Schizosaccharomyces pombe: one gene and its partners. Changing the gene in region 1 together with any one later gene gives a genetic interaction. Each region holds a gene or a part of one and is shown in the gene's direction. Other genes may lie near its edges. The genes, in order: trm1, maf1, frs1 and frs2.

What was found.
Region 2: of trm1 (region 1) and maf1, changing one suppresses a phenotype caused by changing the other (phenotypic suppression), as found in Schizosaccharomyces pombe (one study listed by BioGRID).
Region 3: of trm1 (region 1) and frs1, changing one suppresses a phenotype caused by changing the other (phenotypic suppression), as found in Schizosaccharomyces pombe (one study listed by BioGRID).
Region 4: of trm1 (region 1) and frs2, changing one suppresses a phenotype caused by changing the other (phenotypic suppression), as found in Schizosaccharomyces pombe (one study listed by BioGRID).

What each region holds. Positions count from the first base shown.
Region 1 is NC_003423.3:3,717,662-3,725,638, forward strand, and holds trm1 (mitochondrial tRNA (guanine-N2-)-methyltransferase Trm1.1), read left to right. Parts: upstream 1-5,721; coding exon 5,722-7,368; 3' UTR 7,369-7,477; downstream 7,478-7,977. Other genes in the region: MCM complex subunit Mcm7, read right to left, coding at 1-2,259; ribonucleotide reductase small subunit Suc22, read left to right, coding at 4,094-5,269; mrh5 (RNA helicase), read left to right, coding at 7,709-7,977. UniProt on the Schizosaccharomyces pombe protein: Dimethylates a single guanine residue at position 26 of nuclear- and mitochondrial-encoded tRNAs using S-adenosyl-L-methionine as donor of the methyl groups.
Region 2 is NC_003424.3:3,003,226-3,011,260, reverse strand, and holds maf1 (RNA polymerase III-inhibiting protein Maf1), read left to right. Parts: upstream 1-1,882; 5' UTR 1,883-1,943; coding exon 1,944-1,949; intron 1,950-1,981; exon of another isoform or gene 1,982-2,002; coding exon 2,003-2,101; exon of another isoform or gene 2,102-2,465; coding exon 2,466-3,077; 3' UTR 3,078-3,677; downstream 3,678-8,035. Other genes in the region: 19S proteasome regulatory subunit, ubiquitin-specific protease subunit Rpn11, read right to left, coding at 1-282; SPOM_SPAC31G5.21 (FAM32A family protein), read right to left, coding at 818-1,174; cAMP-independent regulatory protein Pac2, read right to left, coding at 4,416-5,123; RNA polymerase I termination factor, Myb family Eta2, read right to left, coding at 7,495-8,035. UniProt on the Schizosaccharomyces pombe protein: Mediator of diverse signals that repress RNA polymerase III transcription. Inhibits the de novo assembly of TFIIIB onto DNA.
Region 3 is NC_003424.3:4,095,212-4,103,754, reverse strand, and holds frs1 (phenylalanine--tRNA (Phe) ligase beta subunit Frs1), read left to right. Parts: upstream 1-3,595; 5' UTR 3,596-3,631; coding exon 3,632-3,689; exon of another isoform or gene 3,690-3,740; coding exon 3,741-5,452; 3' UTR 5,453-5,509; downstream 5,510-8,543. Other genes in the region: SPOM_SPAC23A1.14C (cystathionine gamma-synthase-like protein), read left to right, coding at 800-1,996; rpl1602 (60S ribosomal protein uL13), read right to left, coding at 5,773-6,325, 6,381-6,421; tef102 (translation elongation factor EF-1 alpha Ef1a-b), read right to left, coding at 7,171-8,543.
Region 4 is NC_003424.3:3,168,902-3,177,367, reverse strand, and holds frs2 (phenylalanine--tRNA (Phe) ligase alpha subunit Frs2), read left to right. Parts: upstream 1-3,997; 5' UTR 3,998-4,022; coding exon 4,023-4,316; exon of another isoform or gene 4,317-4,510; coding exon 4,511-4,600; exon of another isoform or gene 4,601-4,668; coding exon 4,669-5,784; 3' UTR 5,785-5,824; downstream 5,825-8,466. Other genes in the region: RNA polymerase II CTD phosphatase Ssu72, read left to right, coding at 238-320, 370-880; spa2 (GTPase-activating protein), read left to right, coding at 1,309-1,375, 1,462-1,590, 1,639-3,422; class 1 histone deacetylase Hos2, read right to left, coding at 5,954-7,258; png1 (chromatin modification-related protein), read left to right, coding at 8,326-8,466.

The sequences.
Region 1 (7,977 bases):
ATCGAGGAACATTATTGTTTGACCATTGTTTGTAGTTAAAAGAACACCAAGGTCTGTATATTCCTGTATTGTATTTATTAAATGATCTTCAGTAAAACCCTTAGCAAGTACGCGTTCACGAATAGCACGTAGTGTAAGTGAGCGTTCATTGCCTTCAACATCTGGTATGCTATTAAGCATGTCTCGAATAATTTTATATATTTTCGAGGTAATAGTAGTATCGTGAGAACTAGGATCCAAATCATCGTATAGTGATGACTTTGAAACAGACATTAATCTCAAAGCTTCATCAACATCGCCAATCTCCACTCTATTACTGAAACGCAAACGAGCTAATGCTTGTCCCATTCGCAAAATAGCGAGAAGTGTACGTGGAGTAGTGTGAGCGAATTGACGCTCATTGGCTTCATCACGCTTTTGGTTTTGTCGAAGTTGAACATAAGCACCAGTAACATAGTCGCATACATCCTTTGGTACGACTGGGCGATATTGTCTAGCAGAAGAAATATAATGCCTAATCATGTTTGGATCTAATGGTTCAAAGTCCATTTTAGGTTGTTCGTTATGCATGTGAACATATGTTACGTGTTGTGCCAAATGCTCGTCTGTTTCACGAGAAGGAGTATCTAAAATTAAAAATAAAATATCAAACCGGGAAAGCAGTGCAGCTGGAAGATTTATATTGTGGATTGGTGCCACTTTCGGATTATATCGTCCATATAAGGGGTTCGCAGCGGCCAAAATACTTGTTCGAGCATTTAAAGTCGTAGTGATTCCTGCCTTTGAAATTGAAATAGTTTGCTGTTCCATTACTTCATGAATTGCTGTACGGTCACTTTCATCCATCTTATCAAATTCGTCAATGCAGCAAATACCGTTGTCAGCAAGTACTAAGGCACCTCCCTCTAAAACCATTTCATCCGTCACTGGATCACGCATTACAGCAGCAGTTAAACCAACACCTGAAGATCCACGACCTGTGGTGTATACTCCTCTCGGGGCAACCTTCGAAATATACTTTAATAATTGAGATTTTGCGACACCAGGATCACCAGTTAAACAAATATTTATGTCACCACGAATTCTCATTCCATCCCCTAACTCTTTAGTAACACCTCCGACAAGCAACAGAAGTAAAGCTTTTTTAACATCTTCATGTCCATATATCTCGGGAGCAATGGACTTGGCCAGTTTTTCGTACACATTGCCTCCTTGATTTAATTCAGCGATAGCAGCCTCCGATTGAGGAGTTTTTTCAATATTTGTGTAATTTTTAATGATTTGTGAAACATAATGGCATTCTAAGTAAGTATCGGTTAAGAGCCCGGCGCGCATTGCTCGAAAACCAGTATACGGAGTCGGCAAAAATATACCAGAAATATCAACGATATCGCCAGGATTTACAGAGCGAGTGATAGCACCATATAAGTGGACGGTTAATGATCTAGGGATATGGCCAATAGGTACTTGGTTCGTTAATTCTTGTATTTTTACTTCCTGAAAAGGAAGAAATTTACTGGCTCTTGTGCTCATGAAAAGCTGACCTTTTGCATCATTCTTTTTACATTCATCCGAAGGACATTCAGACATTGGAAGGAATGTCTTCTGACGGATTTCTTGAAACACTTCATACCCACATCGATCACATGTATAAGCATTTACAGTTAAGCTAGGCTTAACATCACTTGTACGAGTAACTATACCACGGACAGTCAAAAGAGATCCCAAGTTTTCGCCTCTTAAATCACGAACGCTGAATGGTTTTTTGTTGCGAGTTACTGGTCGAAAGTATAAGTCATAACCTCGGGTTAATTCAGGAGGAAATCCTTTATGCTCAGGGTCTATATTTTCATTCCTTTGAACACGTTGCTGCATAATTACATCAAGTACTTCGTTGCGATAATTAATTTCCACAGTAGGAGGAGGCATCAACGCATCTGCGCACTGCGAAAAAAGTTCAACAAACCGTTTAGCATTAGATTCAATATTATGCAAAAGCTGAGTATCACTTGGATCGAACTCGTACAAATCATTCAAATCAACATTAATAACATTTGACTCTCGATTGGAGATTTTTTGTAGTATATCCATATACTTTGATTTTAAAAAAGGCTCATCACCTGCATCCGACATCGAAATATCCTGATTTTGTTGTCCATCTTGAACCTGTTCCTGCTTGAAGTGGGATAGAAAATCCGTAATTTTATGTTGACATTCTTCATACTCTGGGATTTTTAAATCTATGGTGGGAAGTGCCATGCTTTTCAAACCAAAAAAGTATCCCAAAACTTTTCTGCTGAATTAGCAAAAAATATAAAGGTTCAAAAAGAAAGCAAGGGTATTAAGTAAGGGTAAGATACCAAGAAAGGTTCTTCTTTAGGTTGTTTTAGTTAGTTGGTAGTATGAATCAACGCGAACTCGTAAGGTAACAAAAATGTAAATATTGTAACTTAGGGCATATACAAATTGTCATTGACTCTAAAGAAATTGCAGTGTATAATTTTTTTGATTCTCTACATATTTCCTTTTTAATTTATTACTCTCGCAGCAAAAGTAAACATTCAGTTTGATTTTAAAAGCCACTATGTAGTACTGTTAGAAATTTTTTTTGGAGAGTATTCACTATGTATAAATAAACAGTTTATTTGTTTTAAATTAATAATAATCATTTTGCCAGACAATAAATTGGTCATTTTATTTTCATAAATGTATGTCTAATTGTTTTCATTGCTTCAATCGATTGTTATTTTAGCTATCCATAATTTTTCCTATTTTTCTTCTACACGTTTTGTATTTCTAAACATGAGAGTTATTTAGACTACTGCCTAAAATTTATTTCACTTTTATTTTTAAAAATTTTTTTGAAAACTTATGAAGTAAGTTAGCAGGGAAATTCTCAAAAGAAATGCGATATCAACAATATAAAAACTTCGAGTAGGGAACTTTTTATTTTTTGTTCGGTTATTTCAAACATCAGTGAAGAATGAATATAGAAAATTCTTTATTGTTTTATACCACATTGTAAACTGTACCTAAAAGCACAACACGCAATAGAAACGTGCTATTGGAATGCTTATTTATTTTCTGTTTACAATAGACGAATATAAGTATTTCTTTTTTTTTTTACGAAAGGATCAAGGTATTAAAATTATTCACAGTATGTGGCTAGGTCTCTGTCGCGCTTATCTTTTTTTAATTAAGCAATGTCTTTATGTACGGTCGCGTCGCATTAGAAGTTTCGTGATTTGTAATATTTGAGCAGTTATAAAGCGCTCTACATCTCGGATGAAAAGGAGATTGTGAAGAGATATTTATTTCTAACATCATATCGTACTACTAGGCTGATATCATTGCGTTTCATCTACAACATAAATTGAGGTACCCTGACGCGTCTTAAGTATTACACTGAAAACTACTTTATTAAATTATAACAAAAAGTGAGAAATTTAATAATTTATTTATTACATAAAGTAATAAATTCATTTCTATTTTTTCAATTATTTGAGCCTAAATAATTGAATTTATTCGACTCCACGCTTAGCATCGAATTCTTCGATTTAAGCTATCACATTTTTCTATTAACTAGCTACAATTTCCTGCTTTAAGAAACCGTTATTATAACACACCAGAAGGGAAAGGAAGTAAGCCCTTGCTTTTCCCATTTAATTTGAGATTGTCTTCGAATTTATTTCATTTTTTTTACTCGTTGCGTTTGTCTCCAAATATTAATTAGTACATTGTTTTTTTTCAACGTTATTCATCTCCATCAGCCTTTGACTTAGTTTAACTGCAATTTTCCACTCTGTAAAATAAGGCAGCATTTTGTCTATTTTGCCTTCACTCTTATTCATTGTGTTATCATACCCAAAGTGCGACAAATTAACATCCACAAAAAAAACGGTGGTGTTGAATATACTACAATACTGTGCACTACATTGGATAACCTACCTTTGAAAGTTTTGCCATTAACCACAACACATCTTGGGAAGCCACATCGCAAGAGATAATCGCGGTGGAAGAAAACTTTTGTACTTATTCTATATACAGATAAATCCGGTCAGTTTGGACGAAATCTCATTATTAATCTTACAAAATGGGCCTTGAGCATCTCGAAGAATTCAGTTATCCTAAGGAACATGGTGAAGAAGTCGAGTATGATAGCGAACAAGGTGTTCGTAAAATTTATGTTAAATCTATTAAAGAAACCTTTAACTTTGATAATGTAAGTGAAGAAGAGAAACAGGAAGGAGGCGACTACTACTTGGGCAAAAAGGAAGATGAGCTTGATGAAGTTGTGCTTCGCCCTAATCCTCACCGCTTTGTTTTGTTTCCAATTAAGTATCACGAAATTTGGCAATTCTACAAGAAGGCTGAAGCATCTTTTTGGACTGCTGAGGAAATTGATCTTTCGAAAGACTTGGTTGATTGGGATAACAAGTTAAATGCTGATGAACGTTACTTTATTTCCACTGTACTCGCCTATTTCGCTGCGTCAGATGGTATTGTTAATGAGAATCTTCTCGAGCGTTTCAGCTCTGAAGTTCAGATCCCTGAAGCTCGTTGTGTTTATGGTTTCCAAATTATGATTGAAAATATTCACTCTGAGACCTACTCACTTTTGCTTGATACATACATTCGTGAACCTAAGGAAAAACAGCGTCATTTCGATGCTATTTTAACAATGGGTTCTATTAAGGCCAAAGCCAAGTGGGCTCTTCGTTGGATTAATGATGAAGATTCCACCTATGCAATTCGTTTGGTTGCCTTTGCTGCTGTAGAAGGTATCTTCTTTTCTGGATCGTTTGCCTCTATTTTTTGGCTTAAGAAACGTGGACTTATGCCTGGTCTTACTTTTTCCAATGAATTGATTTGTCGTGATGAGGGTCTTCACACCGACTTTGCCTGTTTGATGTTTAGTCATTTGAAGCACAGACCAGGCCGCAAGGTTGTTGAAGCCATTATTGTTGAAGCTGTTGATATTGAGAAAGAATACTTCACGGACGCTCTTCCCGTTAGTCTGCTTGGTATGAATAAGGATTTGATGTGTCAGTATATTGAATTTGTTGCTGATCGTTTGTTGGTTGCTTTGGGCAATGACAAGTACTATAACGTAACCAATCCTTTCGATTTCATGGAGAATATCTCTTTAGCAGGAAAAACAAATTTCTTTGAAAAGAAAGTTTCTGACTACCAAATTGCTGGCGTTATGTCGGGTACCAAGCGCGCTGAGAAGGATGATCATACATTTACAATCGATGAGGACTTTTAGATGACTAGTTATTTTTGGTTTTTAGATAAGTTAAAGCAAAAAAAAAATATTATTGATTACTGATAACCTATTTAGCAATAATAAATTAATATGTTTAATTAGATTTTCGTTACTCTATACTTTACAAATCTAAATGGCTACTTCAGTGAATGTAATGACGAAGTTCTAATTTCTGAAGTATTTCTATTCAAGTTCTTTTCTCTTTTTCATTAATTTACTACGTCTAAGAAAAGTTATTTTCCAGTCATAGACTAAAAGACCATTTACTTATTATCCTTATTGTCAATTACCTAAACCTACAAGATTACATGTATTATACAATACTTTGTAATTCGATTTATGGTTGACTTATCACATCTCGTATTTTTTTAATGAATTACTGCAAATTTACTCTCAAAAATAATCAATACTTTCTTTTTTTTTAACGATTATTTTTCTTTAATTCGTATTAAATGTATGAAGCCAATATGCTAAGATTAAGTCAAAGGATCTCAAATGCTGTGAATCACTTCTCAACCGCCATGATGTCGGGGGCTTCTGCAAGTTTGACCGAGGGTAGTGCAATTATACCATTTTCAAATCCGAATGAAGTCTTTTATAACCCCGTACAACAATTTAATAGAGATTTAAGCGTTACAGCTATTCGTGCTTGGTCGGAAACTAGATCCAAAAAAATTGTTGCAAAATCTCATCACCGGCATCAGCTTCTCGATCAAAACTCCGAACTTAGCCAAGAAAATCTTACTAAATGTGATACAACTCATGATTTTGAAAAAAACTGTTCGGAAAAGACAGATTCTACTTCAGCTGATAATATTGCTGGATTTACCATTTTAGAAGCACTTTCCGCTACTGGATTGCGTTCCATTCGGTATGCTAAGGAGTTGCCAAATGTCAAAAGGATACTTGCAAATGATTTATTAGAAAATGCTGTGAAAACCATCGAGAAGAATGTTAATTACAATAATGTGAGCGATATAGTAATTCCTAATAAAGGAGACGCTAATGCTGTTATGCATATGAACAAATTTCATTACGATGTGATTGACCTTGATCCTTATGGATCTGCTGCCCCGTTTCTGGATGCTGCTGTACAATCCGTTTCAAAGGACGGTCTTCTATGCATCACATGTACTGATTCAGCTGTTCTAGCCGGTAATGCATATCCAGAGAAATGCTTTTCTAATTATGGTGGGTCCTCTTTGCGCTCTAATTTTTGTCATGAGCAGGCTGTTCGTCATTTGCTTTATGCTATTGCAGCTTCTGCTGCAAAATATGGTCGCGCTATCAAGCCGCTACTTTCCCTAAGTATTGATTTTTACTTTCGCGTATTTGTTCAAATTAAAGCAAAGCCTGTTCTCGTAAAAAATTTACAAAGTCAATCGCTATTGATATACCATTGTTCAGGCTGCGGTAGCTTTGCCGAGCAACCACTTGGAAAAACTTCTCCGGGAAGACTACCTGGAACCACCAAATTCTCTAATGCTTCGGGGCCTCCTGTATCTGCTAACTGTGAACATTGTGGATATGTGCATCATGTTGGAGGCCCTTTATGGGGTGGACCCCTACATGATGCAGAATTTCTCAAAAAAATGCGCGCCATTGCAGAAGATTTAGACCCTGAAGTCTATGGCACTAAACGAAGAATCTTAGGTATGCTCGCTTTGGCTGATGAAGAACTACCAGATGTTCCATTTTATTTTGTTTTATCCCAAATTTGTAGCGTCTTGCGCTCCCAATCTCCTCCTCAAAATATATTTGTTTCAGCTTTGTTAAACGCTGGATATCGGGTTTCTGGTTCTCATGCCAAGAGTAATGCAATTAAAACAAATGCTCCCTGGTCCTTCGTTTGGGATGTTTTGCGCTCTTGGATTAAAGATCATCCAGTGAAGCTTGAAAATATTAGTAAAACATCTGCTGGAGCAGCGATTTTGGAAAAAACTCCCACAGCTGAGGTTGATTTTACATTCAGGCCCGATTCCGAGTTTGCATCCAAAAAAGAAGGTTATACTCGATATCAAATGAACCCAACTGAAAATTGGGGCCCAAAAAGTAAACCTGGTAAAAGAACTATCGCTGAAGTTGACTCAAAATCTTAGGTAAAGTGGAGCACAGTTTAAATACTCCTTGTATTTTAGGTTTTTGGATAGTACATACAATTTCATTCTTTATGTTATTTCGGAAGGTTTATGCAAATTATAAACAGGCTAGTACAAAAAAGATTTAGTTTGTGTATTCCATACTAAATACTTGTTTAAACTAATAGTATCCGCAACACAATTAGCAATGTTAAAATGATTTATTGTTTAACCGTATTCTTCTTTTTTACATAATTATTTAAAGAAGGTGCAAATATTTTCTTAATTCTTTTGCTTCAACAATTTTTGGTATTGTTACTTTCGTTGGTGGGGTACTAACTCGTCCAACAACAGTTTGCTCATGAAATGTTGTCCTGCCTCGATATTGGATCGTTTTAATGCAATAAAAGTTATAAATGTGATGGGATTGCGTCTAAACGGACGAAGTGTTCCTTGGTTGCTTCAGACACGAAAATTTATCAATATCACTAGTCCAAGATACACAGCTGGCAGGCCTGTTATTTTGAATGAAAATCAACTAATTAGATACTTACCAAATTACACAAATAAAGGAGATGAAGAGGTAACCCGAAGGAAGAAATTGCATGAACCCAATGGACCAAAATTTCA
Region 2 (8,035 bases), on another chromosome or scaffold:
CATATTTTTTTGGAAAACTGGATCGACTGCTTCTACACTGACACCTGTACCAGATTGAGGCATTGCAAAAACATCAACAACACGTACTGTAAAGTCATCAACGAATTCTCCTAACATCAAACCCATAACTTCCATTGGTGTACCATGTCGCCCATGACGAAGCATTTTTAACAAAGCTAGAGATGAAATGTATACACACTCGGAATTATCAACAAGAGGCTGATCTCCCATCATACCAGTACCCATGCGGGCACCTTGTAACAATCTTTGTAAAGATTCCATCGCGAAAAATATGACTCGTATGTATGTATTGAAATATGAGAGTTTATCAGTATCAGTGGGGTTCCTCTCAAATAACCGCAAATAAAAGTGTAATTGGAGATTAAATGAGAAACTCAGTATAAGTATTTAAATAAAGTTACCAAAACGTTAATGCTGTTCACTGATATTTAGTAAGACGACAAAAACAATCAAAGGTCACTATAATGTGCTTGTTCTTCAAAGGAAGTTCTTTCTATATGTTTCAACCACTATACAAAACGAATATACAAGATTCTATGTCTTTGGTCTCACTTAGGCAGCTAGTATACGTTTACGTGGTAGTTGGCTATAAACAGGTTTTTTCTAGAGACAAATGAATAGCTATAACAATAATGAGGTATAATGCGTATTGTTAAAATAAAATAGTGATTTCATTAGAGTGCGTAATTCATAAAAGAATATGGTAGGTGGATGGAGAAAAACTATGCAGAATAGAGGAGGCATCCATTGCTATTTAAGTATAGCTATTGAGAGAAAAAAGGACGTGTTTTGAAAACTAGCCGGGTCCAATTTTAGGCATGTCAAAATGCTCCGACTGACTTTCCAGTAGTCTATTATACTCATCAATCCTGTCTTTATGTGTTTTCAATCGCTCATTCTTTGCTTTCTGAAGTAATCTTTGTTCCTGAACAGACTCAAAATGTTTCTGTGCTTCCGTCATCGGCATAGCCGAGTCTGTATCCTTTGAGCGAAGCATTTGGTACGTAGATACGCCATTTTCTTCTAAAGGTGATTTATCTCGGGAAGAATGCTCTTGAACTTTTTCAGCAAGTTTTTTAGAATCCTTCTTTTTCTTTTTCAAAGGTTTTTTTTTTACATTTTTCAGTTTTAGAGAACCACCAACGTAGTCCATAGTTCTTGGTAAAGGTAAGTTGGTGTAAGCAAAATGTTTGAACTGTACGATAAGAGGTGAAACAGTTTAATACATTTTACACTAGGAATTGAATTTAAAAATAAAATAAAATAAATATAATTTAATAGTAAAAGTGTAATAAGTAATACAATAAAAGAATTGATGTATGTTGTGCAAGTTTATTAATGGGCTCAATTTAAAAAAAATATGTATATATATGTACAATTTCATTGTACAAGTATACTCTAGAAGCGACGATTATTCATTAAATAAATTATTATTACTTTTTTTTTGGTTAATAATGATACTTGAACCGTTTCTTTTAAGAATTGTAGAAAAAATTGAATATTGAAAAATTGAGTTACTCAATGCTCATCAGAAAAATACGGAAAAACTTATAATCGATATTTTTAAACTGATTTGTTTTTATTAGACTCCTTTTAATTACTTAAAATATTTATTTTTATGAATAAATAAATGCATTTCGACTTGGACTTTAACACATTATACGGTTAAGTACCTTAAAACAGCATAAAAAAATAAATGGCAATGCATCGGGATGGTTTCTCAAATATATTAAGCTTCGGTAAAATGTTGAACCGACATCTAACAAACTCCTTACGCTTACTATTAGCTTATAGTCTGTTATTTAAGATTAACGTACCCTTAATAGAAGTGACATTGACGTTGGACGCGACGCTGATACCTAACCACAGCAAACCTCTTTTTAATGAAAGGAAACAATTGAATTGATTACATTACAATTACTATGAAGGTAAATATATTTTACTTTTTATTTGTCTTACTAAACCCTGTTTTTGTGACCAGTTTCTTGAGCTTGCCGATTTAGATACAGTCAATAATGCCTTATCATTTGATGCCGATGATTGTCGCATACGCGGAAAGTGCGAGCTCTATACAACCAAGGTAAATTTAACTTGTAAGCTTGGTTAGTCTGGTAAAGGGAAAATTGTACATTGGTTCTTGAATTTGACATATGCTTTTAATAATGATCCTCTTTTCTTGCGTGGTCAAATCACTAAGTTGAACAATTTTGGTTCTTTTTGGTCTCTTGTACAAGATCAGCTAATTATATAATCATTGTTTTTTTTTGTGATTATTTATTTAGTTTCTTTACGTTTCAAATCTGAAACCAAAATGATTACGATTGTTGTTTACCAAATGGAGTACCGCGTCTGAGTGTCTGTTTTTAGATTCGGGAGCATTCTGCTTTATTAACTTACCAAGACATGAATATACTGATATATAAAATGTGCTAACAATTTTATAGAGTACAAATTCTGACAAGAAACTCTTTAAAGCTATAGAGAATCGGTGTCAGGAGGATCTATTTGCATTATCGAGTAGTAAATCACCGGAATATGCTTTCAGCCTAACTCAGCAAAGTCCATTTGGGCCTCTTGATCAGTCCTCTTCTCGTCGTACCTTTATGTACATTGTCGCTACTCTTAATGCCTCTTATCCCGATCATGATTTTAGTAGCCTCCAACCAACAGATTTTTACAAAGAGCCTTCACTATCTCGTGTTGTAGATTCCGTTAATTCTACACTTAATAACATTGGTCGTGGTAGATTGAGTGTGAATGGAATTTGGGAAATTATCGACCGTCATATCAACCTGTCTGATTGCAGCGTTTATTCCTATACTCCAGATAGCGACAGCGATCCTTACGGCGATGATGCTTTAATATGGGGGATGTCCTACTTTTTTTTTAACAAAAATATGAAGCGCATGCTTTATTTATCACTTCATGGTTTGGGCAAGGAAGTCTCGGGTCGGAATCGTTATGGAAATGACGATGATTCTGTGTTTACACCACTTGCGGACGATGCAGAGCCAAGCGATTTTGATGACGATTGGGTTGCTAACATGGATGATTAATTTTTTGGTTATTTGGGAAGTAATGGTTTCTGCTACTTTCTCTTTTTCTCTCTTTACATTTTGTTCAACTCGCAAACTAAATTGCACCGTGCTCATTTTATTATTTCAGAATCATGACTTTTCGAAATTTTCTTGTTTTTTCTAATTGTAAATACATGAAACCTCACCTTTCTTTAATATCTCCCTGTTAATTAGTTTATTTCAAATTATTTATAGCAACCCTTTCTTTTTTGCATTTTTGAAAAAAAAAATATGCCCCCAGCATTTTAGGTACTTCTTGTTTTTTGTTTTTTATCCTTTAAGGAACCTATTTTTTCACATGTGATTTGTACGTTAAGATTTTCCAGACTGTACTACGGTTTCTACTCTCTTGCAACACACGTGTTTATACATAATAGATTAAAAAATTTCCAACAACTGTTTCATAGGTTTGTACATGCAATTTGACCTTAGAGGAAAATTTTTTAATCTGTCCTCATTAATCATCTGAGCCTAACTATCTTTAAACGTTCACATCAAGTTCCCGAATATTTGAAGCCTTATTAAGCATCATCTTGACATAGCATAATGATGTATTCAGTTATTCAATTTAAAAATTACCTTTTCTTTGAAAATACTTCATTTACAACAAATAAAAGCTATGCATTTACTTAAAAGATAAAGAATTAATTTCATAGTAGTTGTATTTAAGGAATTCAAATTACCCTAAGAATTGATGCTTTCCTATCATTTTACCCGAACATGAGCTCTAAGTTGAGTAGTAAAAAATAGAAATGTTGAGTGCATAATTCAAATGTTGAATACTTGTTCTACCGTGCTTCATGATAGACGTTTACTTAACCATTTCCATCATGAAAAGAAATAAATAATAAAGAGAAAAAAGGAAGCATTGATGAAATAACCACAAAAGATTCTTTAAAAAGGACATTTCCGATATTCGCAGACGAAACAAAATAATGCGTAAAGCGAAATGTCTAAAGAGTTATGATAACGATACACATCTAAACCGACGAACAGAAAACGTATTTGCAAGACAGTTGAGCGATTACTTAGTTAATGAATTAAATCAAAACAAGCTTTCTGTTTTTATCACTTGCCGTAAGTGCTGAAGAATGAAGTGGTAACTTGAAATTAAAATTGATCAACCACATAAATTAGACGCTGATAGACAAAGCCGCAGATTAGTAAGAGCGAAAACGCAGCCGAGAAAATGTCACAGGAAACTAGGATTGATTGGGAGTCGTTAAAGCCCCATATATGATGCAAATGAAATCTATAGTAAATTTAGTACACTTTTTAACCGAGAAGTAGGACCCAATGTGAAGAAAAAGATCAAACCTATAGCCATAGGGCTTGACGCAACTTATCCAAAACGCGCGCGTCTTCGCTACAGGCAACTTTCTCGACAAGAATATCATAAGGAGCGAGAAACTTTGGTGCTTGAACAAGCGGTGGACCCGCGTCTGGATACAGTCCATATGGAATAGTGATACGTGAAAGGTTAACATCACTACTTGGCGTGACTAATGAAGGATCAGGGATAGGCGAAGAATAGGAAATAAGGTGAAGTTTATGATTTAAGGAGGTAGTAATACTAAAGGACTGCTTAATTAAGCCGTTCGGTTTGTAATGCAACCCCCGTAGGTTCTCATCATCAACCGACTCTTCATCACTCAAGCTCGCGGCTCCACTGTCCTCATTGCTGTAAGCATTTAGGGAACTATTACCAGTCGTATCTGCAGAGGGAGAGCGTTTAAGGGAACCATCGGTGGAAAGACCGTGATGGTAAGGTTTACGTTTACCCTCCATTTCTCGGTAGGTTAAGAATGAACCGCTGACACGAGAAGCACTCCATGATTTACCATCAGTCCAACGGCGCATTCCAGCTTCCCGTTCATCCCACACAAAAACACTGCCTGCTCGTATCAAGCTTCTTTCATGGTCGGACAATCGACGCTGGACGCGTGGAAGAAGACCAATTCGACAGGCCTCGAAAAGGATAATCGCATCCAACGGGGTCTTAATGATACCTGTATAAGTTTGCATGACGAAAGGCAAAGCCGATCAGATCGTAGTTTGAAGATGAAGTAAAATCAGAAAATAGCTGTCACGAAGATTCAAAAAAAAAAGCGCACTGGATTAGTTACCAATGCAAAGATCAAAAGAATCAACTAACGAAGCTCGGATTAAAGAGAAATAAAATAAATAGTTTTATAAATATAAGTAGAAGATAAGTTGACTGTGCGTGTATATATACAGCTTGACCGATAAATGGGTAGTCGAGTAAGTATACAGGAATGGAGACCTTCAATAAATTATGCAATTCAGTCCGAACGAACGCAAGATCTTAGGAAATTCAAGCAGGGAAAAATTAAATCTAGATATTATCTTCAAAGAAAATTCAGTTGCAAGACTAGCCGATTTGATTACCTTTTAGTACTTTCTAAAAGAAAATGAAACAATTAAACGGCAGGGAGAAGCAAAATTCAGAAACAATGAAGGAAAGTAAAAATTATTTAATAAATGATTTTCTTTCTTTTTTTAGGGAGTTATAATAAATATTATTATTCGCGGTTTCAACTGATCGTCAAAAAAACACCCAAAAAAAACAGACTTGACCAAAAAAACTTCCAATCAAGTATTAAATCTTTACAAACCCAATAGCTCACTTGTATGTTAAAAGCAAAGAAATTTAAATTCAGCTTTTTTAACAATGCTCAAGGTTGAAATTTGGCAATAAGAAACGTCACAAATAGTTAAAAATGGAAACAGTCGAAAAAATCAAGATAGATCAAATTTTTTTCTCAATGAAAAAATTAAACGAATCCGTTCACTAAAATAGAACACCTTTCTACACCGGTTCTCTAGTTGTGGTAAAAAAAGGTCCCTAAAAGTTCTTTGCAAAGGAAAAAGCTAATGTACGACAAGGCAAAGTAGCTGTTCTTTGGTTTACAATGCTTCAATCATACAACCGGTACAACTTCACTTGCTGTTAGTTTATACACAAATTTGCTTAATTTAATTTTGTTGTCCAACCTTTTTATTCGTCAAAAAGACGCTATTCGAAGGTGACAACGTTTTGCTGCTTAATGCAACACTGCGGTTGGTGAAGGAAAAGTTGAGTCAAGTAGGTTGAAAGATAGTTTATATGTGCGAGGCTTCGGTTATGTTAGCGAGTTAAATTTTTAAAACTCAAAAAAAACCTAATACGGTAAATATTCCGTAAATCCCTTACCCAACGCTAATCCCGATAGTTTTAGGCTGGTCTAACAATTTAATAAATATAATTATTTAGTTTCCGCTGCTAGATAAGATTCAAGGTAAACTTTTTCCCCAACACTGTTGATACGCCTTTAATGATCAACAACAAGATTACTTTGATTATCAAGTACAAAGTACAATGGAATATATTTTCAATCCAACAACTGCGTTCAAAACCAAAACCTGCCTTTCCAATATTTGAATTTTGTTATTCTTTAGTAGGGACCGGTTCATAAAACCGTTCGGGCCATTTCTTTTCCGACACTCAATTACTTTGGGATGAGTTAAACAGATTTAAAAATTTCAAAGATTTTCCGGCCCTTTCAGTTGTTAGTTGAAATGCTAAAATAGAATGTCCAAGGGACTATCAAAGAAATCTCGGACCCCGAACTATACTTATTTTATTCTTTTTTTTTTTTGAGTTAATATTAGCCGATGAACCGTTGAACGTGACTTGTTTTAGTAGAGCCGTAGCAGTGTCGATTGTTTCGTTGGCCACCACCAAACCATTCATTTTTGCATCTATTATCCGTCATTATCAGGGATGAAGTAAGAAATAAGTTAGTAACCATACGATCCATGCTTAGATATTAATTAAATAACGAATATACATTAAAAATTTAATAAATAAATAAGCGGAAAGGCTCGGAATGAGGCTGGTTACAATGCACACGTGCATGTTGCAAATACATCGCACTTAATCGGATTAAGGTAGACGAGAGAGGATATCAGGTAACCAGCAATTGGAACAAGTATGAAAAGAAAGTAATTTAGATTGGCAACAGTATGTCGAGAAGTAAAATGATTGATGGGTTCGCAAATGAACCTAAATCAACAGTATCCAGTATGTGGAGAGGAACCAGGTGACTCACTCTTCTTCTCCATTGCTCTGCCATATAAACTTTAATGCTGCAGAATTCTTGTGTAGGTACGTTTTGCAGGTAGACGGGTTCGGTTGCTCTTGAAGTGCAGTCCAACTATTTTCGCCCCTGTCGCAAAAAGAGATGAGAAATATCATTATATTGTGTGGGAAAATTGAGACAGCCAAGAAAAACATTCAATATGACCTGGGCAAACGTGACATACCAGCAAAAAAGATATTTTTTGACTATTTTTTCTTGCGCACTTATTAACGTTTCGTCTGCAATATTTGTTATTATACGTCAGGAGGAAGACTTTTCAAATCTGTAATTGCGATTCTCACACTCTCACTTAAACGTGTCTTTTTCCAGCCGCGAACACTCGCTACCAAATTTGTGGCTTGCGCTCTCAATTCCTCCTCGGACCATTTTGGCATTTGCTTGACAATGCCTTTCCAATCAATGGCATTTATGGAGATTGCTTCTCCGCATTGCCTTTGTACATGTTCTAGTAGTTTTAAACTATCCGCGACGTAAAATTTGCGTTTACCCTTTGATTTCTTCTTTTTTCTCTTCTTCCTTTTCTTCCCTTGATCCTCCTCTTGACGTTGGTTAGAAGAATAAGATGCGATTGTTTTTTCGTACTGTTTTCGACAGCTTTCCGGCGACTTAGTCCCAAGCTTCTTCGATATGCTATGCCATGCAATGGAATCAGATGCCGGTATTTCCCGTTGTATGTTTGAAGTAGTGTGATTATTGTGTGTGAAAAGGCTTGTCATTTTTTTTGTGTGAAAAGACGACCGGTAAGAAGACTTTACCAAGTCTAATAGCTTTGCT
Region 3 (8,543 bases), on another chromosome or scaffold:
TTTTTATTTACGTGTTGTTCTCTTTAAATAAAAACGTTGAATGGCGTAGAAGTTTGCTGATGATAGTAATGCTATAGTATTTGTAACTCAATGGGAAACGCCATTCCGTAAACAAAATGAGTTCTTGCTCACGAAATATGCGACAGTCGGCATGCAGCTGCATTTCAAATCATTCTTATTGTATATGCCTCTTTGATTGTCAAAACCATTTGTTTGACCACAGTACAAAAAGAGCAGTATTCTTTGAATTCCTAATAAAAACTAGAGCGCTTGTTAATTGGGAAACGCATCTTGTTAAGTCTGTCGCATATTTTCTAGGGTCCGGTACGAACGCCTAGAATCTGAGATCGGATAGCAAACTCCATTAAACCTATAAACTTAAAACTAATAACTGCTTATGTAAAAATTCATTAACCAAACGTTCTAATTATTCAGTGTCCTGGTTCTATTTGTTTGTGTGCTTTCTACTTCAAATGCGTAATATAGTGTTTACAAGCACGTAAGCATAACGATATAAATTAAGGCACATGCCCCGCGATGTCTCACAACAACTTGTCTTTAACCAAACTCTTTACGTTAGTTAACGGAGATATAAGTCTTTAAAAGAATTATCATAACTAGGTATCTGTCGTTTGATCTCGTACTTATTTCTTTGGTCGATTGGTGATTACTAGTGTAGGAGCATTCAATTAGATATAAACATTATTAATTCCGTAAACGTGTAAACACTAGTTTTCTCGAAATTCATTTGTTGTGACCTTTCTGCATTTCATCTCTGTTTTTTTTTCTTTAGTTTAGCATGACTCACACTCCTTCGTTCGATCTCTCTGACATCAAGTCCACATTAAGTACTAATGTACTGCATGCCGATGATGCTTATGCATTAGAAAATGATGTGGCTCCTCCCATCCATATTTCTACTACTTATACTTATCCCGGTACTCCTGACACTCTTCAGCCTTTCACCAAACTAGCGGAGGAAGACTTTCCATACTATGCCCGTATCAGCGGCAACAATGTTGATCGAGCTGAAGCTTCGTTGAGCAGTGTTCTTGGTGCACCTTCTGTTGTTTACTCATCTGGTTTGGCTGCTATTTACGGACTGTTGTCGTATTTAAATCCCAAACACATCGCCGTTCATAAACCCGGTTTCGGTGGTTATTCAGGCACAATCCAAATTATTGCACGCATCAATCGTCTAACCGGTTTAGAAACCTCATTTATTGATGGCAAATGCGATGCCATCGGTGAAGGTGATGTTATATGGTTGGAAACTCCTTTGAATCCTTTAGGTATTGCCTTTGACATTCCTTTTTACAAGGAACTGGCAAAAAAGAAGGGTGCCATACTTGTTGTGGATTCTACTTTTGCACCACCCCCTATCCAGGATGCACTTGTTTTAGGTGCTGATTATGTAGTTCACTCGGCGACTAAATATCTAGCCGGCCACAGCGATGTTTTGGCTGGAGTCACAGCCTCGAAAGATAGATCCAAGATCCTTGATTTGAAAGCAGATCGTGCTTATCTTGGCACAATTTTACATCCTCAGCAAGCATTCTTACTCTTGCGCTCTCTTCGTACCTTTCCTCTTCGCATCGCAAAACACAGTGAAAACGGATTTTTGGTTGCCCAACATTTGAACAAGTTGGCTACCGATGAGCAATTTGCTACTAGCCTAGGAATTGATAGTAGCCTGATTTTGGAGGTTTACCATAACTCCTTGCAGACCAAGGAATTTGTCGCTAAAAATTTGACTGGCGGTCATGCATCTTGCTTTTCTGTTCTACTTAAATCTGACACAGTTGCTAAGCATTTGTGCTGCGAGTTGAAATATTTCCATCACGCTACTTCGTTGGGTAGTGTGGAAAGTTTGATTGAATGGCGAAGAATGACGGATTCCAAGATTGATCCTAGACTTGTTCGCTTGTCCATTGGTATTGAAGACGCTGCTGACTTGATTGCCGATTTGAATCGTGTCTTTGCATCTTTAAGTTAAATCATTGTGTTATTTGCTTGTTTTCTAATGTACTAATGAATATTGTAATTCGTTCCTTTTGAGAACATTTTTAATTCTTGCTATCTTTCTTTGCAATTTTTTGTATTGTTGTGTTTCACGTAAAAATTCACCTTGATCGCTATTGCAACAGTAAAGCGAAGGGTACGATAGAATCGGTGAGATGTCATGTTCTAGGTCATCAACCCGATCATTTTCATTCTTTAACCTTCGAACATGCTTGGCATTAACAAAACCCATCAAAGCCTTTACTTGTTCATAACTAAGTATTCCCTCAATTGTCCAGGATGGACTTTTCAACCCTTCATGATTCAAACTATAACCAAAAAAGAACTCACGTATAAAAACTAAGTGAAGGTACTTTTTCTCTTTTCTGTTAAAGAATTTTTCTAAAAAAAACGATTTAAAGAAATTAATAATAAAATCGTATCAACCTGGACTCAATAGCATTACTAGATTTGGAAGATGATTTGCCTATACCTGGTTCTCAGGCATTGAGAAAGGTGTCTGCGACAGAGGTACTTGATTTACTTGTTGAACATGAGTTGGCCTTTCCGAGCGAATTTTTTGAAGAGTTGTCGAATTTATCATTCTCTGAAAAACAAACGGCGTTAAGCAACCCCAAAACTCAGGTTTACACCAAAGGGGTGTTCGCTGCAGGACAGGTTGCTCAAAGGTGTATTGCGGGTTGTTTAAGGAAAGGCAATCCTAATTACTGGAAATCTCAACAGGTCGTAAATGCATGGGCGCGATTGTTTCCTCGTCTGCGCTTCCTGTCCCGTCAGCAAATTTCGGGAACTCAGGAGATTGAAGTCAAGTTTTTACCAGACAATTTAGGAGATAATAAGGACACTTGTCATTTATGTGGTTTATCTGCCGATGACTCCGTCGCTACTTTGGCACCTGCTGAAATGCTCATACGGAGTCAAGGAGCTTTTTGGCATGAAGGCTGCTTGAAGTATTATAAGCACCATTTTTCTAAATAGAATTTTCAATTATGGCTTTGCTGAACTTAAAAAAAGTATGGTTTGACGATGTTTCACTAGAAAAATACAAAATACTTCATCAATTGTGAGTCGTGGTTGGCACCTTTATAATTCATTTTTTGATAAAAGGGTACACCAGTCAATAATTTCTACTAGGTAGGTATTATTTGCAGCATCGTCATCTCACCTACCACTTAAAATTTTTATTGTTGAATGAAAATCATTGTATTCATGATGCGGCTATTACATGCCGGTTGTTTTAAAATATATGACTAGAAGACTATAAATCAAAAGAAGTTTGATTTATATTGCAATTGTGCTATTATGAATTTGTTGCATTACCTTTTATCATCTCGAGCTTTAGTAATAGGGGCCTGAAGCATGTACAAATCAGTAGCTCGTGAGTTTTGTATTTATGGAATATCTCAGAGTATAAAATGAATATTAATTTATTATATTACGAATATATTCCTACCAAACTCCTATGCTAGCCAAGGCCGATTAAATCTAAAACAAGTAACAAGTCACTTCAGATTTAGTGGATCACCCTTCCTAGTGTGGTAAAGTAGGCCCGGTTCAGGCAAGCCCATCGTTCACCACAGATCCTTTGAAGCTTTTTGAATTTGAGGAAATGCCTACCATCAGCTGTGACAAGGAAGAGCTGTACAAGGCCCTAGGAAGAGAGTACAGTAAGTGAAAGATGATTTGTTGATAAGCAGCGAAATTTAACATAATTGTAGCAACTCAAGAGTTTGATGAACTCTGCTTCCAATTTGGAATTGAGCTTGATGAAGACACTACAAATGACCCAGAAAGAAGTCCTTCTGAGCGTCCTTCTTTAAAAATTGACATTCCGGCAAATCGCTACGATATGCTCTGCTTAGAAGGAATCGCCCAGGCTTTGAATGTGTTTAATCGTCGCATGGCTACTCCTCAATACAAATTACTTCCTTCCACCACTTCACTCACAATTTCCCCTGAAACCTCGGAAATTCGTCCTTATGCCGCTGCAGCTATCTTACGAGGTGTGAAGCTTGATCCCATTCGTTACCAGAGCTTCATTGCCTTACAAGACAAGTTACATGCAAATTTGTGTAGAAACCGTACCCTTGTAGCCATTGGTACCCATGACTTCTCTGTAATGGAAGGTCCGTTTACCTACGAGGCATTAAAACCCGAAGAGATCAATTTCGTTCCTTTGAATCAAACCCAGGAAATCAATGGTTCTAATTTATTAGAATTTTACAAGGATAGTAAACATCTTTCCCGTTATTTACACATCATTGCCAACTCTCCCAGATATCCTGTAATTTTGGATGCTAAGAGAAGGGTTTGCTCACTTCCCCCTATCATTAATAGTGAGTTCAGTAAGATCAGTGTGGATACCCGGGACATCTTCATCGATGTTACCGCAACCGATAAAACTAAACTCGAAATTGTTGTCAACATGATGACCACGATGTTCTCTTGTTACTGTGAAGAGCCTTTTACCATTGAGCCTGTTAATATCATATCTGAGCACAATGGGTGTACTCGTGTTACTCCTAATTTGAATCCTACATGTTTTAAAGCTGATATCGACTATTTGAACGAAGCCTGTGGATTGTCCCTTCCCGAAGATGAGATCTGTCATTTGTTGACCCGAATGATGCTTACAGCAAAGCCCAACCCAAATGATTCCAAGACTCTTTTGGTATACGTTCCACCCTTGCGCGCTGATATTCTTCACCAGTGTGATATTATGGAGGATCTTGGCATTGCTTATGGATATGACAATTTGAAACACACTTATCCTGCTCATAGTGTTACATTTGGCAAGCCTTTTGAGGTTAATCGACTAGCTGACATTATTCGTAATGAAGTTGCATATGCTGGGTGGTCCGAGGTCATGCCTTTCATCCTTTGCTCCCATGACGAGAATTATGCATGGCTTCGAAAGACTGATGATTCAAAAGCTGTTCAACTTGCAAATCCCAAGACTTTAGAATTTCAAGTTGTTCGTTCAAGCTTGCTTCCTGGTATTTTGAAAACGGTTCGCGAGAACAAAAATCATGCTTTACCGATTAAAATATTTGAAGTCAGCGACGTAGCCTTTTGTGATTATTCCAGAGAGCGCATGACTCGTAATGAGCGTCATCTTTGCGCCATTTTTGCAGGTTTGAACTCTGGTTTTGAACAAATTCATGGCTTGTTAGATCGTGTGATGCTTATGTTAAATACTAAACGCATCATGAATCCCAAAGATTCCGATGCTGTGGGATACTGGATCGAGGCTGAGGACGACAGCACCTTTTTCCCAGGTCGATGTGCAGCAGTGTACTATCGTAAAGATTTTGGTACTGCTGGAATTCGCGTTGGTGTATTTGGTGTTCTCCATCCCCTTGTTTTAGAGAAGTTTGAACTCACTTCTGCTGCTTCCGCTGTTGAAATTGATTTGACACTTTGGGTTTAGATAAAACATTGGTAATGGAAAAAAAAAAAAGCCGTAAATAAATTTTTAGACAATGCATTTATATCTTTGTAGTAAGTATCTTAAGTTTGTAACCATGTGAGATATTTGAGTAAATTATAAAACTGTTGAGGATCAATACCGTCTATTAGAGTTATCTTGCCTACCATTACTGAAAGATTAAGCAACTACAGGAAATTGTAGGATAAAACATTAAACTATTCATGATTACACTACAAAAAAGCAGAAAACAGGAAGACTGATATTACGAAATACCAACGTAAAATGGGCAAAAAGAAAATGTTTTAACGAATATCGTTCATTTAGTAACCGAATTCAGCAAGCTTTCCGTTAACAGAAGAGGCAGCTTTGGCAGATGCAATCTTCTTTTGTTTGGCGAGCTTAGCTTGGTAGAAAGCAGCGCTCTTGACCTTTCTGCGTTCTTCCAATTTGGAGACAATGTCGCTGTATTTCCATCCGACCTCAGAAGAAAGGCGACCGACGGTGCAGTATTTACGTCCAGGCTTAAGGCGTAAAACACGGAGGGCAGCAGGGACGACAACACGCTTTTGCTTGTCGAAAGGAGGGGGAATACCTTCAACAGCTTGTAAGTGTTCCAAGGCAGCTTGGCCACGAGCAGTCTTGTGGGGAAGCATACCACGAACAGCCTTTTGGAAAATGCGAGAGGGAGCACGGAAGTGGAAGGCACCACGGCTGGGGTTGTAACGGCAAGCCTTACGCAAATAGGCAAGGTACTTGAGCTTGTTACGGAAGAAATGGCCGGAAATATTCAATTCTTCACAGCGAACTACAACAACCTTCTGGCCGCCCAAAAGTTGCTTGGCGACAACAGATGCCAAACGTCCAAGGAGATGTCTAAATTTTGTTAGAAAACAATTCAAAAAGCATTAGAATTTTCAAATTCTCTTACCCCTTAGCGTCAATCACAACGACCTTCTGGAATTCCGACATTGTGTGCTGGAAGAAATGTTGACCATCTGTTGAGTTGTGTTGTTAAAGATGTGACTGCTTTTTTTGAAATCAAACTCAAGGCCATTTATTGTGTTTCGCTAATTTTATATCGTATTAACTGCGCACTGTGTAATCGAGTTTAATGGCACGTTAGCTTGCGGTGAATTTTACTTGTGGTGTACACTATATTGCAGTATCTGGGAAGATTGAACAATAAGAAGTGTTGTGGGTATAATATAAACAAAGGATGATATTATAACTGAACTGAGCTAGTCAGTTGACTATATATTTGATGTTGCAGCTAACAGGTATCTTTTAAAGCTCATTTGAGAATGTGTATATTCATATTGTAAAATAACGGATCGATAAGCAAAACATGTGTCGAATCGAACACGTGTATGAGACACGGTCTTCTAAAATTAAAAAGGAAAAGCAACTGTCATTGCAGTACCGCTATATTTGCTTTAACTAGAATTGGAAGCGTAAAATTAAAAGGCAATTACTTTTATTAAAAAAAAAGGAACATAAAATAAACTAGCTTAAAATTAGTGCTGTAAACATCTCAACCTACGAGCACAAAGTACTTTCAATTGGTATTGGACTACTTTCGTTTAAAAATAACATCTTTTAGCAACTTGACACACTAAAAACAATTCTACGTTACTTACTGCAGCTACAGTTTTAAATCAATACAAATATGAGATTTTTTTTCAATTCTAAATGCAAAATTTCATAAATTACTATGAAAATTACTTCTTGGCACCAGCCTTAACAGCGGCCTTGGTGACCTTGGCGGCACCAGGAGCAACCTTCTCGACAGCCTTGATGACACCGACAGCGACGGTTTGACGCATGTCACGGACAGCGAAACGACCAAGAGGAGCGTAGTCAGTGAAAGCTTCAACACACATGGGCTTGGAAGGAACCATCTTAGCAATGCAAGCATCACCAGACTTGACAAACTTGGGGGACTCCTCAATCTTCTTACCGGAACGACGGTCAATCTTCTCAATGAGCTCAGCGAACTTGCAAGCAATGTGAGCAGTGTGGCAATCCAAAACAGGAGAGTAACCAGCAGAGATTTGACCGGGGTGGTTAAGAATGATGACTTGAGCGGTGAAGCTAGCACAACCCATGGGAGGATCGTTCTTGGAGTCACCACAGACGTTACCACGGCGAATATCCTTGACGGAAACGTTCTTGACGTTGAAACCAACGTTGTCACCGGGAAGACCAGCGTCGAGAGACTCGTGGTGCATCTCAACAGACTTGACTTCGGTAGTGACACCAGCGGGAGCGAAGGTGACAATCATACCGGGCTTGATAACACCAGTCTCGACACGACCGACGGGAACTGTACCAATACCACCGATCTTGTAAACATCTTGAAGGGGAAGACGAAGAGGCTTGTCAGTGGGACGTGCAGGGGGCTCAATGGAGTCAATAGCCTCCAAAAGAGTCTTACCCTTGACGACACCAGCCTTGGTCTCCTTTTGCCAGCCTTGGTACCAGGGCATGTTGGTGGTGGGCTCAATCATGTTATCACCTTGGAAACCGGAGACAGGGACGAAAGGAACGGTCTTGGGGTTGAAACCGACCTTCTTGATGAAGTTGGAGGTCTCCTTAACGATTTCCTCGAAACGAGCTTGGGACCAGCCAGTGGTGTCCATCTTGTTGACGGCAACAATAAGTTGCTTGACACCCAAGGTGTAAGCAAGCAAAGCGTGCTCACGGGTTTGACCATCCTTGGAGATACCAGCCTCGAATTCACCAGTACCACCACCAATAATAAGGATAGCACAGTCAGCTTGAGAAGTACCGGTAATCATGTTCTTGATGAAATCACGGTGACCGGGGGCATCAATGACAGTAACATTGTACTTGGGAGTCTCGAACTTCCAAAGGGCAATGTCGATGGTGATACCACGTTCACGCTCGGCCTTGAGCTTGTCCAAAACCCAGGCGTACTTGAAGGAACCCTTACCCAACTCGGTAGCTTCCTTCTCGAATTTTTCAATGGTACGCTTGTCAATACCACCGCACTTGTAAATCAAGTGACCAGTGGTGGTAGACTTACCAGAATCGACGTGACCGATAACAACGACGTTAATATGTCCCTTTT
Region 4 (8,466 bases), on another chromosome or scaffold:
TCAAGAGCCTCTGCTTTTGTGATGCAACATATCGATATATCGCATCGTAAAGCAGCGTGGTAATTTTGAAAGGCTGTTGCTTACAGCGTGTCATATTGTATACACTGCAAAGAACGAGTTTGGACCTTTGGCTGTATGTCTAATTTAGTAAGATAAAAATCTTGCAATAATAAAGAAAGGAAAGTAAAACCTTTTAAAGCCTTACCAACGTTAGTCAGTAAACAATAATACCAAATAATGGCTCCCAAAACCAACCTCCAGATCAGTGTAATTTGTGCTTCGAACCAAAATCGAAGTATGGAAGCTCACAACGTCTTAAAGTATGTCATTTTTGAATTTTATGAGGTAGTTTGCTAATCTCCATTGAAGGAATGCTGGATACCAAGTTGATTCGTTCGGAACAGGTTCAGCTGTACGGTTGCCGGGTCCCAGTATTGACAAACCTAACATTTATCAATTTGGGTATCCATATGATGAAATTTATAAAGAGCTCGAGGCCCAGGATTCCCGGCTATACACGGCCAATGGATTGCTTAAAATGCTTGACCGAAATCGCCGTATAAAGCGCGCTCCTTGTCGGTGGCAGGACCAAGATTCCATATACAACATTGTAATAACCTGCGAAGAAAGATGTTATGATGCCATTTGTGAGGATCTGTATCGTCGAGGTGAAACATTGAATCGACCTGTGTACTTAATAAACGTTGACATTAAAGATAACCATGAGGAGGCCAGCGTAGGTGGAAAGGCCATTCTCGATTTAGTCAACAAATTAACCGAGGCACAGGATAAATTGGAAGAGCTGTTCCCTTCTATAATGGCCGACTTTCAATCTAACCATCCTAAACTTCCTGTATTGTATACTATTCATTTTTTTTAATATCATTTATCGTTACACGTCGTTATCGAATTTAATAAAGCATGTCCTTTCTCCTAGTATATCTACAACGTTCTAAGTAATAAACACAGTAAATTGGCAAGGACGCAAAGCTGTCAGTAATATTTTTAGATAGAAGATTTCTCTTCGCACTCGTTTGCCTGTTAATGTGTTTGGCAGTACATTAGGCATTTTAAAGACTTTTTCTTTAAAAATTTAATTCACAGAAAAATTATATCAAATTAATTTAGGGTCCAGCACGTCCTTGCCCATTGTATTAGTACAACTGCCTTAAGTTAATTTACACAGTCTATCTTTTTCAAGTCAGCGTAAAAGAAAGGACATATCATTTAATTCCCTGAAAAAGATAGAAAGCTCATTTTTTCCAACTTCTTTCCTCAAATCCCTAGTCTTAAATTTGCTTTCAAACTATGCAAAGTATTATTATTCGTCAATATCGGTTTTTAGCTCGTTACTTAGAGCCTGAATTTGTTAAAGGTATGTTAAAAATTGGTTTAAAATTAAGCTGTACAATTGCTTTGACCCACGGAAACAATGTAATCACCTCTAACGCTATTTTATAGACCCAGCCCTAAGGAACGCCAATGCGAGGCCACGTGAAAAGCTTCAGCGTTTGTCTCATATTCAGTTCAGTGAACTTTTAACAGACGTTGCTGATGAACTACAGCGTAGGATCAACAATGATCCCAAAGGTATTTTGATTTACACTCTTATGAGTCTACAATTCTAACCCCTTATAGTCAGATTCTTACCTCCTGTTGATTCTTATCATCCCAAGCGGAATCATGCTCGACAAAAACTTTCTAGTCTTGCTCCTACAAGGCTTCGGGATCTTTGTATGGATGTGTTTTTTGAAGTTCAATCAAGATATAGTGGTGCTTTAAAAGAAGTTTCTTCAAATACACCACCAAACATGACTAGAGCTGCTTCTCAGCCTCCTCCTCAGGTGCAACGTTTACCTGCTTCCGCTCCCAAGCACGATCTGTATAGCAGTGCCAACGCCTCTTCCGCTTCCCTTCATCCAACTGAACAAAGAACCACAAGCTCTCCCACTATACCAAGTTATGCTAATAGAACGCATACTGATTCTCCTACTTCCTTGTCTCATCGTCTACCGAATGTTCCAGATACCAATGCTTTAAATACTGTTCAAGCAAATAATTCCTCTACCTCGTCATTGAGCCAGGGTGCTCAGACGGGAATTGATTCTTCGTCAAATTACTTGAGTAGAATTGAGATGTTGGAAAGTAGTTTGGCAAAATCGAACTCTTTGCTTGACAGCTCAAAATCTGAAATGGAGGCTTTAAAAGCCAAAAGCATTTCTGATGCTACGAAACATAAGAATGAAATCTTTCAATTGGAGGAAAAGCTTCATGAGGCATCCCATGAGGCTGAAATTTCAATAAAAAAGCTAAACGATGCTGAAAATCGAATAAAAGAGCTCGAAAACAACCCAACGCTTAGTTTTAATCCTGAGTTGGAAAAAAACCTAAAGCTAATGCAAGAATTGATTGTTGCCGAATCTTCAAAAACCCAGCACATTGTCGAATTGGAAAGCTGTATTGACTCCTTGAAGGCCGAAACGGAACGCTGGAAAAAGGTTGCTATCAACGCGAAGTCCGCAAAAATTGACGAAGATATAAGATTGTTTACCATGACTACTGTTCCAATGAAGTCTATTCGGGAACTGATTTCACCCAATGGATTTTTAGATGAACAGCTTTATATTCGTTATTTCGTTGAAATGAATGTCTTTGTGGCATCTTTAAGAAGGGATAGCCCTTCTCAGTGGATGTCTACTGCTAAGGATATTGCTTTGACTTTGGAAGCCATTGTTTCCAGTTTGCGGGAGAAGTCGCTTTTAGAAGAGCTTCCCGATTTAGGAAAAAAGGTTGATGATTTATGTTCGTTCACAAATAGTTTAATGGAGCAAGTAAGACTCGCTGTAATAAATGGTGCCTTACTTCCCATTTATCACGTCGATGCTTCTGCTTGCTCTATAAGTATCAGTCTTATGGACATTGCAAAAACCTATGGACTTACCAACACGGGAAAATCTTCTCTTTCGGTCGGAAGAAATTCACTTCATCCGGTTGACGATTTGAAGGCATTATCTGTTGCAAAAACCTTGCTTTCCGAAAAATCTAAACAATTTAGTGAGACCAATCAAAAGCTTTTGGATGCTATTAGCAGTGATAGTTCTTCGTCTACCATCCAGCAAAGAGTTCATGAAGACATCAACGTTATACGTGACACACTTTTTGATGTATCTTCACCGTTAGAACTTATGCGGGATCGTGCCGCGTACGCGGTAATTCATAACGCTCTTCAGGAAATGCGAAGATATTGCATGCAGTTAATTGAGCAAGAAGGACATGGTGAAAACTTTGGATTTACAGACAACAACTCCGTACCCCCTCTGACTGATCTCGCCTTTTCTGCGGCCAAATGCTTTAAAGATATTTTACGGGCTATCGAAGATGCGGAATTTAGCGTCCAGCGGACACAATTCTCCACCCGTTAAAGCAACAAATGTTGATATAACTAATTTGCGAAGCTACATTGGTTTTCTCCACCTTGTTTATATTCTATAATATTGTTGAATTCCGATATCAATGGTTGCTCCCACCAAACCTCTTTTTCAGCTGTATAAGCTAATCCCTCAATTTTATTTTGGCTTCAAATGATGAACTTTGTCGGGTAAATCAATGTTTACCACTAACTGGCTATACATGCCTATAATCACTCTTTGTTATTCATTTTTGTTAATTTTCTATTCTTTACCAAGTTTAATTATACTAAATCGATCAATTTTTTTAATTGACATTAAAAGAATTCTCATAAGTACGTTTTTTACTGTTTTCGTGATGTTGTTAGAGTATCGTAGCTATATCAGCGATTTCAAACAGAGATGGATAATCTGAATTAGGATGTCCCGAACATTTTCTATCTGACATAATTTGTATGCTCTTACCATATATAAATTTTAGTAGTACATAAAACATAAACTTGTCAACGACGGCTTAATGTGTAGTGCTTTGAATCCGATGCTCACCGTTTCACCGTAGCACTCGCGTATCGCCAGTTACTTTACCTACTGCCAACACACCAACAAAGCTGTAAGATGTCAAAGCTTGAAGCCCTTCAAGTTTTCCTGCTTGAAAAGCTAAACGAAAAAAATGAAATTCCAAACACCAGTCATTTGGAATTCGATGGGAAGAAGTTAGGTCCTCAAGAAGCTCAATCGGCGATTTTGTCATTAGCTGCTAAAAACATGATTGAATTTTCAAGACATGAAATTGAAATTTACAATTTGACTGCAGAGGGTGAAAACATTTGCGCAAATGGTTCTCATGAAGCCAAAGTTTATAATGAAATTTGCGCTTCTATGAGCGGTTTAAATATTGGGGAACTCAAGGTAAAGTCATTGGAATCGTAGTTGTGAACGACGAAGCATTTAAATATAATTAAGTCTAAACGCCCGGTAAATATTGTTAGTTTTTTTTTTCTAGCATTATGTTGCATTTTCGATTTTTCGCGTTTTGATGCAACACCTTTTCATATCGCTACGTCTGCCTTTTAGTTTTTTTGTACTTTTTCTAACTGATTTAGAAAAAATTGGGGAATTCGGCTGGTATTGGTCAAGGAAGAGCCTTTAAACTCGGTTGGATTAAGAAAGATGGAGACAAGCTTGTTAAAAATGTAAGGCAAAGTTATAGTAGTGCAAATTGATTTAACGTTATGCAATATTTTATTTACTAACTGACCAGACTGATTCCATTACAGATGAGACCCCTAAGGTCCTTAGTGAAATTAAGGAACATGGAACTATCTCTGACAGTAAGACGTTAACTGATTTGAAGAAGAGAAAGCTTGTTGAACGTAACAAAATTATGTACTTCTCTTTGAGGAAAGGTCCAAATTTCTCGCTTCAAATTGAAAAACTGAACACCGATTTAACTGCTGAGATGATCACCTCTCGATCATGGGAAAGTGCCAAGTTTAAATCTTACAACTTTGCAGCTGAAGGTATACCTCCAGCTGGTGGATGTCTTCATCCTTTGATGAAAGTACGTGAAGAATTCCGTAAATTTTTCTTCGAATTGGGTTTTGAAGAAATGCCAACCAACAATTTTGTTGAAAGTGGATTTTGGAACTTTGATGCTTTATTTGTCCCCCAACAACATTCAGCAAGGGATGCTCAAGATACTTTCTTTTTGAAAGTTCCTGCTTCTACTGATAAATTGCCAGATCCCGAATATGTTGCTCGAGTAAAGGCCACTCACGAAAACGGTGGTGAGACTAAGGGCATTGGATACCGTGCTCCCTTTTCCTTGGAGGAAACTCGTAAACTAGTTCTTCGTACTCATACTACTGCTGTCTCGGCGAATATGTTGTACAAACTTGCCCAAAATGGCTTTCACCCTGCTAAATACTTCTCAATTGATCGGGTCTTCCGCAATGAAACCGTTGACGCAACTCATCTTGCCGAATTTCATCAAGTCGAAGGCGTAATCTGCGATAGAAATATTACCCTCGGTGATTTGATCGGTTTCCTTGAGGTGTTCTTTGGAAAAATGAACGTTAAAAATTTGCGCTTCAAACCTGCTTATAATCCTTATACTGAACCTTCATTGGAAGTCTTTTCCTACCACGAAAAGCTTGGTAAGTGGGTTGAAGTCGGAAACAGCGGCATGTTCCGTCCGGAGATGTTAGAGCCTATGGGATTACCTAAAGATGTTCGTTGTTTAGGTTTTGGTCTTTCTTTAGAGCGCCCCACTATGATCAAATATGGTGTGGCCGACATTAGACAATTGATTGGTCCTAAGGTTAACTTGGACCTAATTGAGGCTAGCCCTGCAGTTCGTTTAGACAAAGAGGAATAAATTTAGTGTTTTTTTTTGCATAATCGTTTATAAAAATAATACATAATCACTATGGTAAACGTATTTTCGTATAGGGTCAATTATTAATATTTACAATGTCTATAAACATTAACTAAAATTATTTGATGTTTGTACGGATATCAAATAAAAAGTCGAAAATTCATTAATATCAGCCTCGAACGCGAACATCCACAGCTTTGTCTAAGTATTCATCATTCAACCGTTCGTCTTCTTCTTCCAAATGCCCAGTTAAGTCTGGTGGAATTTGCTGCATCTGAACGCTTGGCGCTCCTCCTAAGTAACGTAATTGCTCCAAGGCCCGTATTCGAAGATCTTCAAGAGCTTTCGGTGTATTTTTATTTTCTATCTTCGTGGTTAATCGCGGATGGAGGGTGTAATCTGGTGCGAAAAATTCGTAATACAAAGTTTCACGAGGTAATTCTGAAGGTATTTGTTCGTTTACACATATGGAAGTTTCATAACACCACGCTCTAGCAACATTTCTAAGAGTATAACCACCACCTCCAACTACAAGCATGGGTATATTGAATGAACGGGTAAATCTAACACATTCCCCATGTGCATGGATGCTCAGATTGAACACGCCGAGCCGATCATAACCAAGCGAATCAGCACCACACTGAAGGACAATTGCAGAAGGTTGAAAAGTATTGATAGTTGGTTCAATTATGGATTTGAAAAGACTAGTGTACTGTTCATCACCAATACCATCTTCCAAAGGAACGTTTAAAGCAAAATATTTCCCTCCTTTCACGCCATTTTCATCAAAATTACCAGTTGCAGGAAAAAAATCACCATTATACTTGTGAAAAGAAACCGTCAACACGCGGTCAGATTCATAGAATGCTTGCTGCACACCATCTCCATGATGAATATCGATATCGATATACAAAACGCGAGGAAAAAACCGTAGCATGTTCAAAATTGCTAGAACAATATCATTAACATAGCAGAATCCACTAGCCTCACCACGCTTTGCATGATGGAGACCACCGCTCCAATTGATAGCAATGTCTGTTTGACCTTGCACTAACTTCCGAGAAGCATCCAAACTAGCGCCTGCCGACCTTTGAGAAAATTCATAAGTGCCGTCAAAGACCGGACAGTCATCACCAATATTGAATTGTTGGAACTTATCAGCAAATTGTTCAGCATTATCAGGAGTAACGCGCTTAAGGAAATCCAAATAATCCTCCCTATGAAATTCTGACATTTCACCAAAAGTTGCCATCCGGGGGCTGAATACACTCATTTTGTTATGCAACCCATAACCCATCACTAAATGATTTGTAATGGTAATTCGATGGGGCTTCATTGGATGTTTGTCACCATAGTGGTAGTTTCCCACCTGTTCATCTAAGTGATATGTGACACGCTTTTTTTGAGGTCGAAAGCTAAAAAAAGACCCCTTTTCAACTTGTTCATAAGGTGTGGATGTCTCAGGAGTATCCATGATATACAGACTATTATACTAAAAAAAACCGCGAGACAAATTAAATGAAAATATCTTTTCTAAAGAAAGAACAAGAAAAGAATAAATAAAATTAAGAAACAAATTAATAACTGTTTCAGAAGAAACAAGAGAAATGAAAGTTATTGACCAATGCCAAATTAATATAAATCGAAAAACAACCCAGATTTTTTTATAGAAAAGAATTCAATCCAAATAATAAACAGCAACACGAACTGTAAATACTTTATTTTTACGTCGAGCGCAGAATACGTAGCAAAAGGTCGCTAAACCCGATACCTTATTAGATAAAATGTACAACTTCAACAAAGCGTTAATTCAAACTCTTTGAAGCCCATAAACACAAGAACAAATAGGATTTACAATTTTTTGAAGAATTGCTAGTGCTGGTTCATTCTTATAACTTAAAAATGTATATCTCAGTGAACACAGAAGGAAGCTACCAACTTAGGTGTAGTTTAGTATGTTATGCTTCCATATATGAACTAACACATTAATAACGTATCGTTATTACTTAAACAGATGGTAACCTTTAGCATGTGAATTCATAGACAATTTGGCAACTTAGATATCATACATACGTTGAAAAGATTTATCTTCAAAGTGATTTGGTTTGCGTGAATTCTTATGTTTTTATTTCGCCCTCTTTGCCTTCCAGTACTGTGTTTACATTATATGGAGTGGCGGAACTCAACACCAAATGTGGGCTACTATAAACAACCGGAAAAATTTTCAGCAGCTTAAGAGAGTGTAAAAATAATCTTTAAACGACACAAAAACGAGCCATAGGTTCATATATATTATTTCAATTAGTGTCTTTGTCCTTCTCGTTTGTACATTTATTGTCACATTCCTCTACTTTAAAAGATAAAGTCATAGTATCTTTTATTCATTAGTTATTGAAGTATCGAAAATATTAGTGGAATATCAACTTTCCCTATCTCTTTAAAAGACTCAAATCTCCCTTTCTTTTGGAATTTGAAATCATAATAATAATTTTTGCATAAAGCGGAAATTAGAACGTATCTATAATTTTCAATTTGAGAATAATGGCAGATGATACAGCTTACATACTAAGTGAGTATTTGCAAACGTTGGATAATGTTCCCAACGAAACAAAACACATCTTTGACGAAATTAGTGTGAAGGAAGTTGCTGTACATGACATCTGGAAGAGAATTCAAGCAGCT